2 linked regions of the Drosophila melanogaster genome follow. The protein of the gene in region 1 purifies or fractionates together with the protein of each later gene. This does not show direct contact. Each region holds a gene or a part of one and is shown in the gene's direction. Other genes may lie near its edges.

Region 1 (4,544 bases):
AATTTGAGCTGAAACAGACTTTTGCAGACAGCTCCCATGCAGGATCCATTACATCGGTGGCCGTGCAGTGGCCTTGGGTGGCCAGTGGCGGTACCGACGACAGGATCTTCGTCTACGACATGCGCACGCGGAAACAGTCGCAGATCATACTCTCGCACGCCGGAAGAGTGAACACACTGAAATTCACACCTGACCTGTCGCACTTGCTCTCCGGGAGCGACGATGGCCATATGATCGCCACACGCGTGGGCAGCTGGACCAAAGAGGGTGATTGGCAGAAGGCCCATGCCGGACAGGCCGTCACCCACATCAGTTGCCATCCCAGCAGCAAGTTGGCCTTATCTTTGGGCGGCGACCAGGTGCTGAACACCTGGAATCTGGTCAATGGCCGCGTCGCCTACAAGACCAATTTAAAGAACAAGGCTACGCTGGGTCTCCAACCGGGCTGCTTGTCGTGGTCCAAGCAGGGCGATCACTTCACACTTAGCGGTCCATTGGTTCTGGAGATCTGGGGCATCGAGAACGCTCATGTTATGCGTCGCATTGAGATGCCGGCGAAACCCATTTGCATCACCTGGCTGGATGGGAACGAGTGTTTAACTGGCCTGGACAACGGCAACATTGCCTGGATTTCCCTCAAGGACGAGGATGATACACCAGTAAGAATTGCACTTTCTCAGCCTGTTATCTATGATACTTAAATGCGCTTTCTTTGCAGCCCACCTTCATTCTTGCACACGAGGCAAGGGTCAAGGCCATCGCCTATCTGAACGAATTACTGGCCACCGTCTCCAGGTGAGTTATTCTATAAAAATCCAAGCTACACCCAGATAACTAAGAACACCCATCACATTATTCGTTTTTATATATACAAATTTATCTTTTCCAGCGCTGGTGAAATCAAAGTCTGGAAGATCGACATGGAAACGCGCAAGCTGGAGGAGATTGCCAGCAGCTTCATGGACTGCCGACCCACCGACTTGGGCCTGCTGGATCTCCGCCAGTTCGGCAATGTCCAACCGGTGGAACAACGCATTAAAGTGGAGGAGAAACCAAAGGCGAAAGTGGAGTCTGACCAAAGTGCCAAGCCTGCAGCACCTCGGGGATTCGTGACCATCGAGTACGAGCAGGATAAGAATCTGGATGCCGAGAAGAAGAAGGGAAAGGGGAAGAAGAACAAGATACAGGCAAAGAAGGCGCAACAGAAAGCCGAGGAATCCTCAGAAGAAAGCAACTCATCGGAAGAAAAGGAGAGCGACGACTTCTCCGACAGCGACAGCGATGTCTCCAGTGATCACGGCCACCGGAAGAGGAAGCCAATGAAGCGCAAGCAGCAACCCACTCCAGCCTCCAAGGGGAAGGCAAAGCAGCAGAAAAAGAAGTAGTTTTTAGTAGCTAACGTTATGACTATCAATAAATATTGAGTTAATCTAGAGATATAGATAAAAAAACCATAGATGAACTGTCGATTTGGCTGGGATGAACAGAATTATGAATAAATACCTCTGAACTTAAGAAGTTCGATCTCATTAACGAAACTAGAAACTGTTTTTGAAAAAAAAAACTAAAAAAAACACTTAAATTAATTATTAGATCATTAGTTGAAATTGTTAAACAATTTGCATTTGTGTAAATGGTAGGGTGACTGGTGCTGGTAATATATTAAATGTTCTACTGTTTTGAACTAAGATAAAGTTAGATAAAAGCAAATCACACGGCAGATTTTTGGTTAAAACCCGAAGATACATTGCTAAAACGTAATTTTCGCATGGATTTCAATTCAGTAAGGATTCAATAAAAATACTTTTCAAAAAACTCAATAAACACAAGATACTAAATGCACATAAATCATTAAGCAAATTGGTCAAAATAATAGCACTTCCTGTAAAGTATTTCCTGATTTTTTTCAGATTTATAGGGTATTTCACTATTTGCATTTCAAACAACTTTCCCGTTTAAATAAAATAGTAAATACGATATTGAATATATAACATGAGACATAAAACCATTTTTCAAATTATTTATATGTTTCGATGTTTTTGGCGAAAAACATAGATGTTGTTATAAAATATAAACAATCTTTTTTATCTTTAATCTTTTTCGATCATTGATCTTTTTTATTTAAGGATTATTTTTTAATATTTTAAATAAAAAGGCAGTATTTGGTGACAACCTTTTCATCCTCCAGCAATTGTTCTTAACATTCCTAGAAAAACATCGATGTTTCTGATATTTCGAAAACATCGATGTCATCGATGTTGGCGTAAAAAGTTTCTCCGCCTCTAACTTCGAATAGTCCTTGCCGCTGGAACACGTTTTGACAGCAGAAATAAATTCTTGAATAGAATTTAGTGACTTATTCGACAAATCCATTTAATTTTCCATTTCCATTTTCATTTCAAACCGCTGCCATGCCGCCGGAAATGGAGATCATAGAGGCCACCAACGAGGAGCTCCTGCTGGGCTTCAAGCTCATCAAATCGCCGACTGACGGCTTCACCGATTCCGTCAAATTCGAGCTGAAACAGACTTTTGCAGACAGCTCCTATGCAAGATCCATTACATCGCTGGCCGTGCAGTGGCCTTGGGTGGCCAGTGGCGGTACCGACGGCAGGATCTTCGTCTACGACATGCGCACGCGGAAACAGTCGCAGATCATACTCTCGCACGCCGGAAGAGTGAACACACTGAAATTCACGCCTGACCTGTCGCTCTTGCTCTCCGGGAGCGATGATGGCCATATGATCGCCACACGCGTGGGCAGCTGGACCAAAGAGTATGATTGGCAGAAGGCCCATGCCGGCCAGGCCGTCACCCATGTCAGTTGCCATCCCAGCAGCAAGTTGGCCTTATCTTTGGGCGGCGACCAGGTGCTGAACACCTGGAATCTGGTCAATGGCTGCGTCGCCCACAAGACCAATTTAAAGAACAAGGCTACGCTGGATTTCCAAACGGGCTGTTTGTCGTGGTCCAAGCAGGGCGATCACTTCACACTGAGCGGTCCATTGGTTCTGGAGATCTGGGGCATCGAGAACGCCCATGTTATGCGTCGCATTGAGATGCCGTCGAAACCCATTTGCATCACCTGGCTGGATGGGAACGAGTGTTTAACTGGCCTGGACAACGGCAACATTGCCTGGATTTCCCTCAAGGACGAGGATGATACACCAGTAAGAATTGCACTTTCTCAGCCTGTTATCTATGATACTTAAATGCGCTTTCTTTGCAGCCCACCTTCATTCTTGCACACGAGGTAAGGGTCAAGGCCATCGCCTATCTGAACGAATTCCTGGCCACCGTCTCCATGTGAGTTATTCTATAAAAATCCAAGCTACACCCAGATAACTAAGAACACCCATCACATTATTCGTTTTTATATATACAAATTTATCTTTTCCAGCGCTGGTCAAATCAAAGTCTGGAAGATCGACATGGAAACGCGCAAGCTGGAGGAGATTGCCCGCAGCTTCATGGACTGCCGACCCACCGACTTGGGCCTGCTGGATCTCCGCCAGTTCGGCAACGTCCGACCGGTGGAACAACGCACCAAAGTGGAGGAGAAACCAAAGGCGAAAGTGGAGTCTGACCAAAGTGCCAAGCCGGCAGCACCTCGGGGATTCGTGACCATCGAGTACGAGCAGGATAAGAAACTGGATGCCGAGAAGAAGAAGGAAAAGAAGAAGAACAAGAAAGACGAGGAATCCTCAGAAGAAAGCAACTCATCGGAAGACAAGGAGAACGACGACTTCTCCGACAGCGACAGCGATGTCTCCAGTGATCACGGCCACCGGAAGAGGAAGCCAATGAAGCGCGAGCAGCAACCCACTCCAGCTTCTAAGGGGAAGGCAAAGCAGCAGAAAAAGAAGTAATTTTTAGTAGCCAACGTTATGACTCAACAAATATTGAGTTAATCTAGAAATATAGATTAAATAAAACCGTGGATGAACTGTCGATTTGGCTGGGATGAACAGAATTATGAATAAATACCTCTGAACTTAAGAAGTTCGATCTCATTAACGAAACTAGAAACTGTATTCGAAAATAAACTCAAAAAACACTTGAATTATTTATTAGATCATTAGTTGATAACTTTAACAATTTGCATTTGTATAAATGGTATGGTGACTGGTGCCAGGATCTCCAGGGGATGACCGACCGGCTGCCAGTTGCAGCAGTTTTCAGATCAGTTGTGGGTGCGGGCTAGAGGATTGGATATGGGGTGCTCAGTGGGCCAGGAAGTAGTGCAACAGGTTAAGGTAAATGCGCTCCAGCAGCGGCCAGAGGTGCTCGGCCAGGAAATGGATTAGGTGCCTTAGTGGCGGGCAGAGCGCGCACAAGTAGTCCGTGAGGGCGTCCAGCACGCGGATGGCTAAGGGTCAGTTGTTGCGCTCCAGTCGCAGGCAAATGCTGCTACCGGCGCCATTATCATCATCGTCATCCTCATCTCGCCCATCGGGCCCCGTCGCATAGCAGCCATCCTCGCGCCACGCACACCCATGTGTCCAGGCCATCGGTTCCTGGAACTTGTCCTCGTGCAGCGGATT
Region 2 (3,474 bases), on another chromosome or scaffold:
GCGACGGAATTATTCCTTAAATACATATACATATCTACCCTCAGGAATCTCCATATCCCGCCCCATTCGGTTTTAGCCAACAACCGGCAGCACGGCGCGCCGGTTTCGCATTTCCGTTGGAATGCCAGCTCTTGGCCCTCAAAACGTAGTTGTTAACTCACTGATAGGGTGGAAATTTATCTACTACTGTAATTTGGGGATGCATTTTTATTAGACAACTTTTCATGCGTAATTAATTTGAAAGTATTGCATCATTTCTATGAGAAAAGGACTTTGCCCCATCCTTTGGGGGTAATGCGAGTAGTTAAGTACATTATGATAACCAATAATAATAACTTATAACTTATTATAATAACTTATTTACTCTTAACATTTCCAGCTGCTGCAGTTGTGCAATTAGTGTGCTTGTTTCAATCATCAGTGGATTGCTGGTGGTCGGCATTGTGGTCGGATTGGCCGTCTACTTTCTTGTCTACTACGAACCGGAGGATGAGGTTACCAAGTTCACCAATAAATTAGCCGAAAGTGTACAGTCGGGATATGGCAAAATTAAGGATGTCATAAGCAAATTAAATTGAGCATGGTAAAAAGATAACAAATTGAACTAGAAGATTCATAGGCATTCAATAAACTAGAATTTCAGATTAGTACACAGCGAAAAATGTTCCACGCTTTGCATAATTCCATTCATCCAAATTAATTGCCACCAATTTACAGAAACGAACACCGCTGGAGCCTTTTAGAAGAGGATAATTGTTAAACTGTTTAATTATCAGTACAAATAAATATTACAACACCTTCTAAATAATATTGTGAATCTCCATCTAATGCAAAAGATGTTTTAACGCAAAAGATTTTATAAATAAATATTTATGATGTTCAGAGACAGATTATACTACTTTAAAAAATGAAATAAAAAAATGTTTTTAACATTAATATACCAATTCTATTCAATTTGGAAATATTTGGAAATAATATAATTAATGGGTATTTACATAAAAACTAACGTATTTTTCTTCACGTTTTTAATTATCAAGATTTTTGTTATGGCCTTGAAATTAAAAAAAATGTTTGCTTGAGGCGGAAATAAAGCTTCCAGAAAAAACAATTTTCAATATTTTTTGATGATTACGAACAACAGGAAGTGCTTCAAAAATTCCTAGAAACTAGAATCTGTCTTAAGCCAAAAATTGATAAATAACTAAATAAATAAATTGATATATAAATAACAAAAAAGTACCACGAAAATGGGAAAAAATAATTAATCACACTGGCATAAATACCCATTTTTTCTAATGTGCCAGTACCATGGCCTTGTAATGCGAAAGATGCCCCTCCGCCCAGCGTCCAATGCCCAATAAAATCGATATATTCAGAACCATTTCGAAGCCATCGACTCGATGAACTTCTACCAGGCTCCCATAAAGTTCAGACGTGCTGCCAATCGTTCGACAACTTCGATTGGATCCAAATCAGCCCCTTCATCGCTCCGAAATGGAAACCCAACTGGCTGGGGGAGGAGTGGGAAATCCACCACGGTGGAGCGGTGACAACTCACCATGCAGGGGAAATCTGAAATATGGGCGCTCATCACAAGGCAGATACTTTCTACAAAAAGTCTGGTAACGCTTACAGCAAAACGGTCGAACTGGAACTGCAAGGATATACAAATGTGTTGCATCATAAAAAATAAACAATTTTCTTCCGAATAAGGGAACATTTTTAAATTCAGAGTGTGACCGAGGCAATAAAGTGTAATATTCTTCAGAAAGCGCAACATCCATTAAATGGGGAATCAATTCTCGTACTAGAATGTAATGTAAACAAACTTTAAAAATGGACGAATCTGAAACAGCTCCGAATGACGACTATGAGCACCCAGATGGACTCGATTACATATTGGAATCTGTGTTGATGCCCAGCGATGGAAGTAAAGAATTCAAATTCTTGGCGGACGAGTACAATTCTGTTCTTTTGAACCCCTGTCACTGCAAAGGAGCCTGCGAAAACAGCGAAGTCTGTGCACATGGAGGCCAATATGAGTTCACAGAAGATGGCAGCGAATTAATTCTTCGGAATTCCGCAAATCCTGTCATTGAGTGCAATGACATGTGCAAATGCTGTAGAAACACGTGCTCCAATCGGCTTGTGTACTCAGGCCCGAGGAAACATTTGGAAATATTCGATTCGCCCGTGTACGGATCCAAAGGACTACGGACTACAGCGAAAATTACAAAAGGAGGATACATTTGCGAATATGCCGGAGAACTTTTAACGGTTCCCGAGGCAAGAAGCCGCTTGCATGATAATGAAAAACTAGGCCTGATGAACTATATCCTGGTGCTTAATGAATACACTAGCGACAAGAAGCAACAGGTGACCATCGTTGATCCATCAAGACGTGGAAACATCGGACGCTACCTGAACCACAGCTGCGAACCGAACTGTCATATAGCAGCTGTACGAATAGACTGTCCCATACCAAAAATAGGCAAGTTTTATTGCTAATTCTGATCCGACTTCTCTCGTCATGTGTAATTTTTTAGGTATTTTCGCAGCAAGGGATATTGCGGCCAAGGAGGAGTTATGCTTTCATTATGGCGGAGAAGGGCAGTATAAAAAGATGACAGGTGGAAAGACTTGCCTCTGTGGTGCTTCAAAATGCACGGGTTTCATGCCAAATACTGAAATAGAAGAATAAATAAATTACTATTAAAGTTTACCTAAGTATATGTAAGTACTTGCCACTCAGAGTTTGTTCTGTACTTGGTTTTCCAGCGGAGGTAGTTTTTCATAAATCCATTGCTGCAGATCCGTGATGGAGGCAGTTTTCAGTTCGTGCAGTGTGTTCCTCAATGGATGAAATGTGCCCTTGACACCCAGTTTCGTTAGGTTCTCGAAGGTTTCCAGACCCCAGTCCTTAGGTACCAGAGTATCGCGTTCCCCGTGATACATTCGCAGCTCGGGAAAAGATTCGTCTTTGCCGTTGGCCAGGGAATCATAGACAACGGAGCCGCGGTTCAGGAACGAGGAATGTGCGAATACGCCGGCCAAGCTGCGTCTCAAATGGTAGCCCGTGTGCAGAGCCAAGGCTCCGCCCATCGAGAATCCGCCCACAACGATCCTGTTCAGCGGTATGCCGCTGGCCACCTCCTCGTCGATCAGCTGATTGACCGCATCATAACACTGGGACATGCTCTTCTTGCTTTCCGATGCGGCAATGTTCACGGACTTGCGGTCAAACCACACGTTGGATAGTTCCCCGTCCAGCGGGGTGTACTTCTGTTTGGGAGCCGTGGGATATATTATCTTTATGTGCGGGTACTCCAGATTCCGGCCGATAAGGAAGCGCACCCATTCCAGAACATTGGGGCCGGTGTCGCCGGATCCGTGGAAGAATATCACGGAGGCTGTGTGTTTGCCAGTGGCATTGACCGTTGTCAAGGCTGGCTTCATCTTTAATTCACCTTTGAT

The links.
Region 2: the proteins of CG9123 (region 1) and CG4565 purify together in Drosophila melanogaster (affinity purification with mass spectrometry, with the first as the bait; one large-scale study listed by BioGRID). This does not show direct contact.

Annotation. Positions count from the first base shown.
Region 1 is NC_004354.4:15,339,848-15,344,391, reverse strand, and holds CG9123 (uncharacterized protein), read left to right. Parts: upstream 1-2,274; 5' UTR 2,275-2,411; coding exon 2,412-3,170; intron 3,171-3,229; coding exon 3,230-3,306; intron 3,307-3,400; coding exon 3,401-3,869; 3' UTR 3,870-4,019; downstream 4,020-4,544. Other genes in the region: CG12608 (uncharacterized protein), read left to right, coding at 1-659, 719-795, 890-1,385; HDAC6 (histone deacetylase 6), read right to left, coding at 4,377-4,544.
Region 2 is NT_033777.3:10,850,906-10,854,379, forward strand, and holds CG4565 (uncharacterized protein), read left to right. Parts: upstream 1-1,818; 5' UTR 1,819-1,836; coding exon 1,837-2,491; exon of another isoform or gene 2,492-2,546; coding exon 2,547-2,701; 3' UTR 2,702-2,739; downstream 2,740-3,474. Other genes in the region: CG42394 (uncharacterized protein), read left to right, coding at 380-578; CG6567 (uncharacterized protein), read right to left, coding at 2,749-3,456.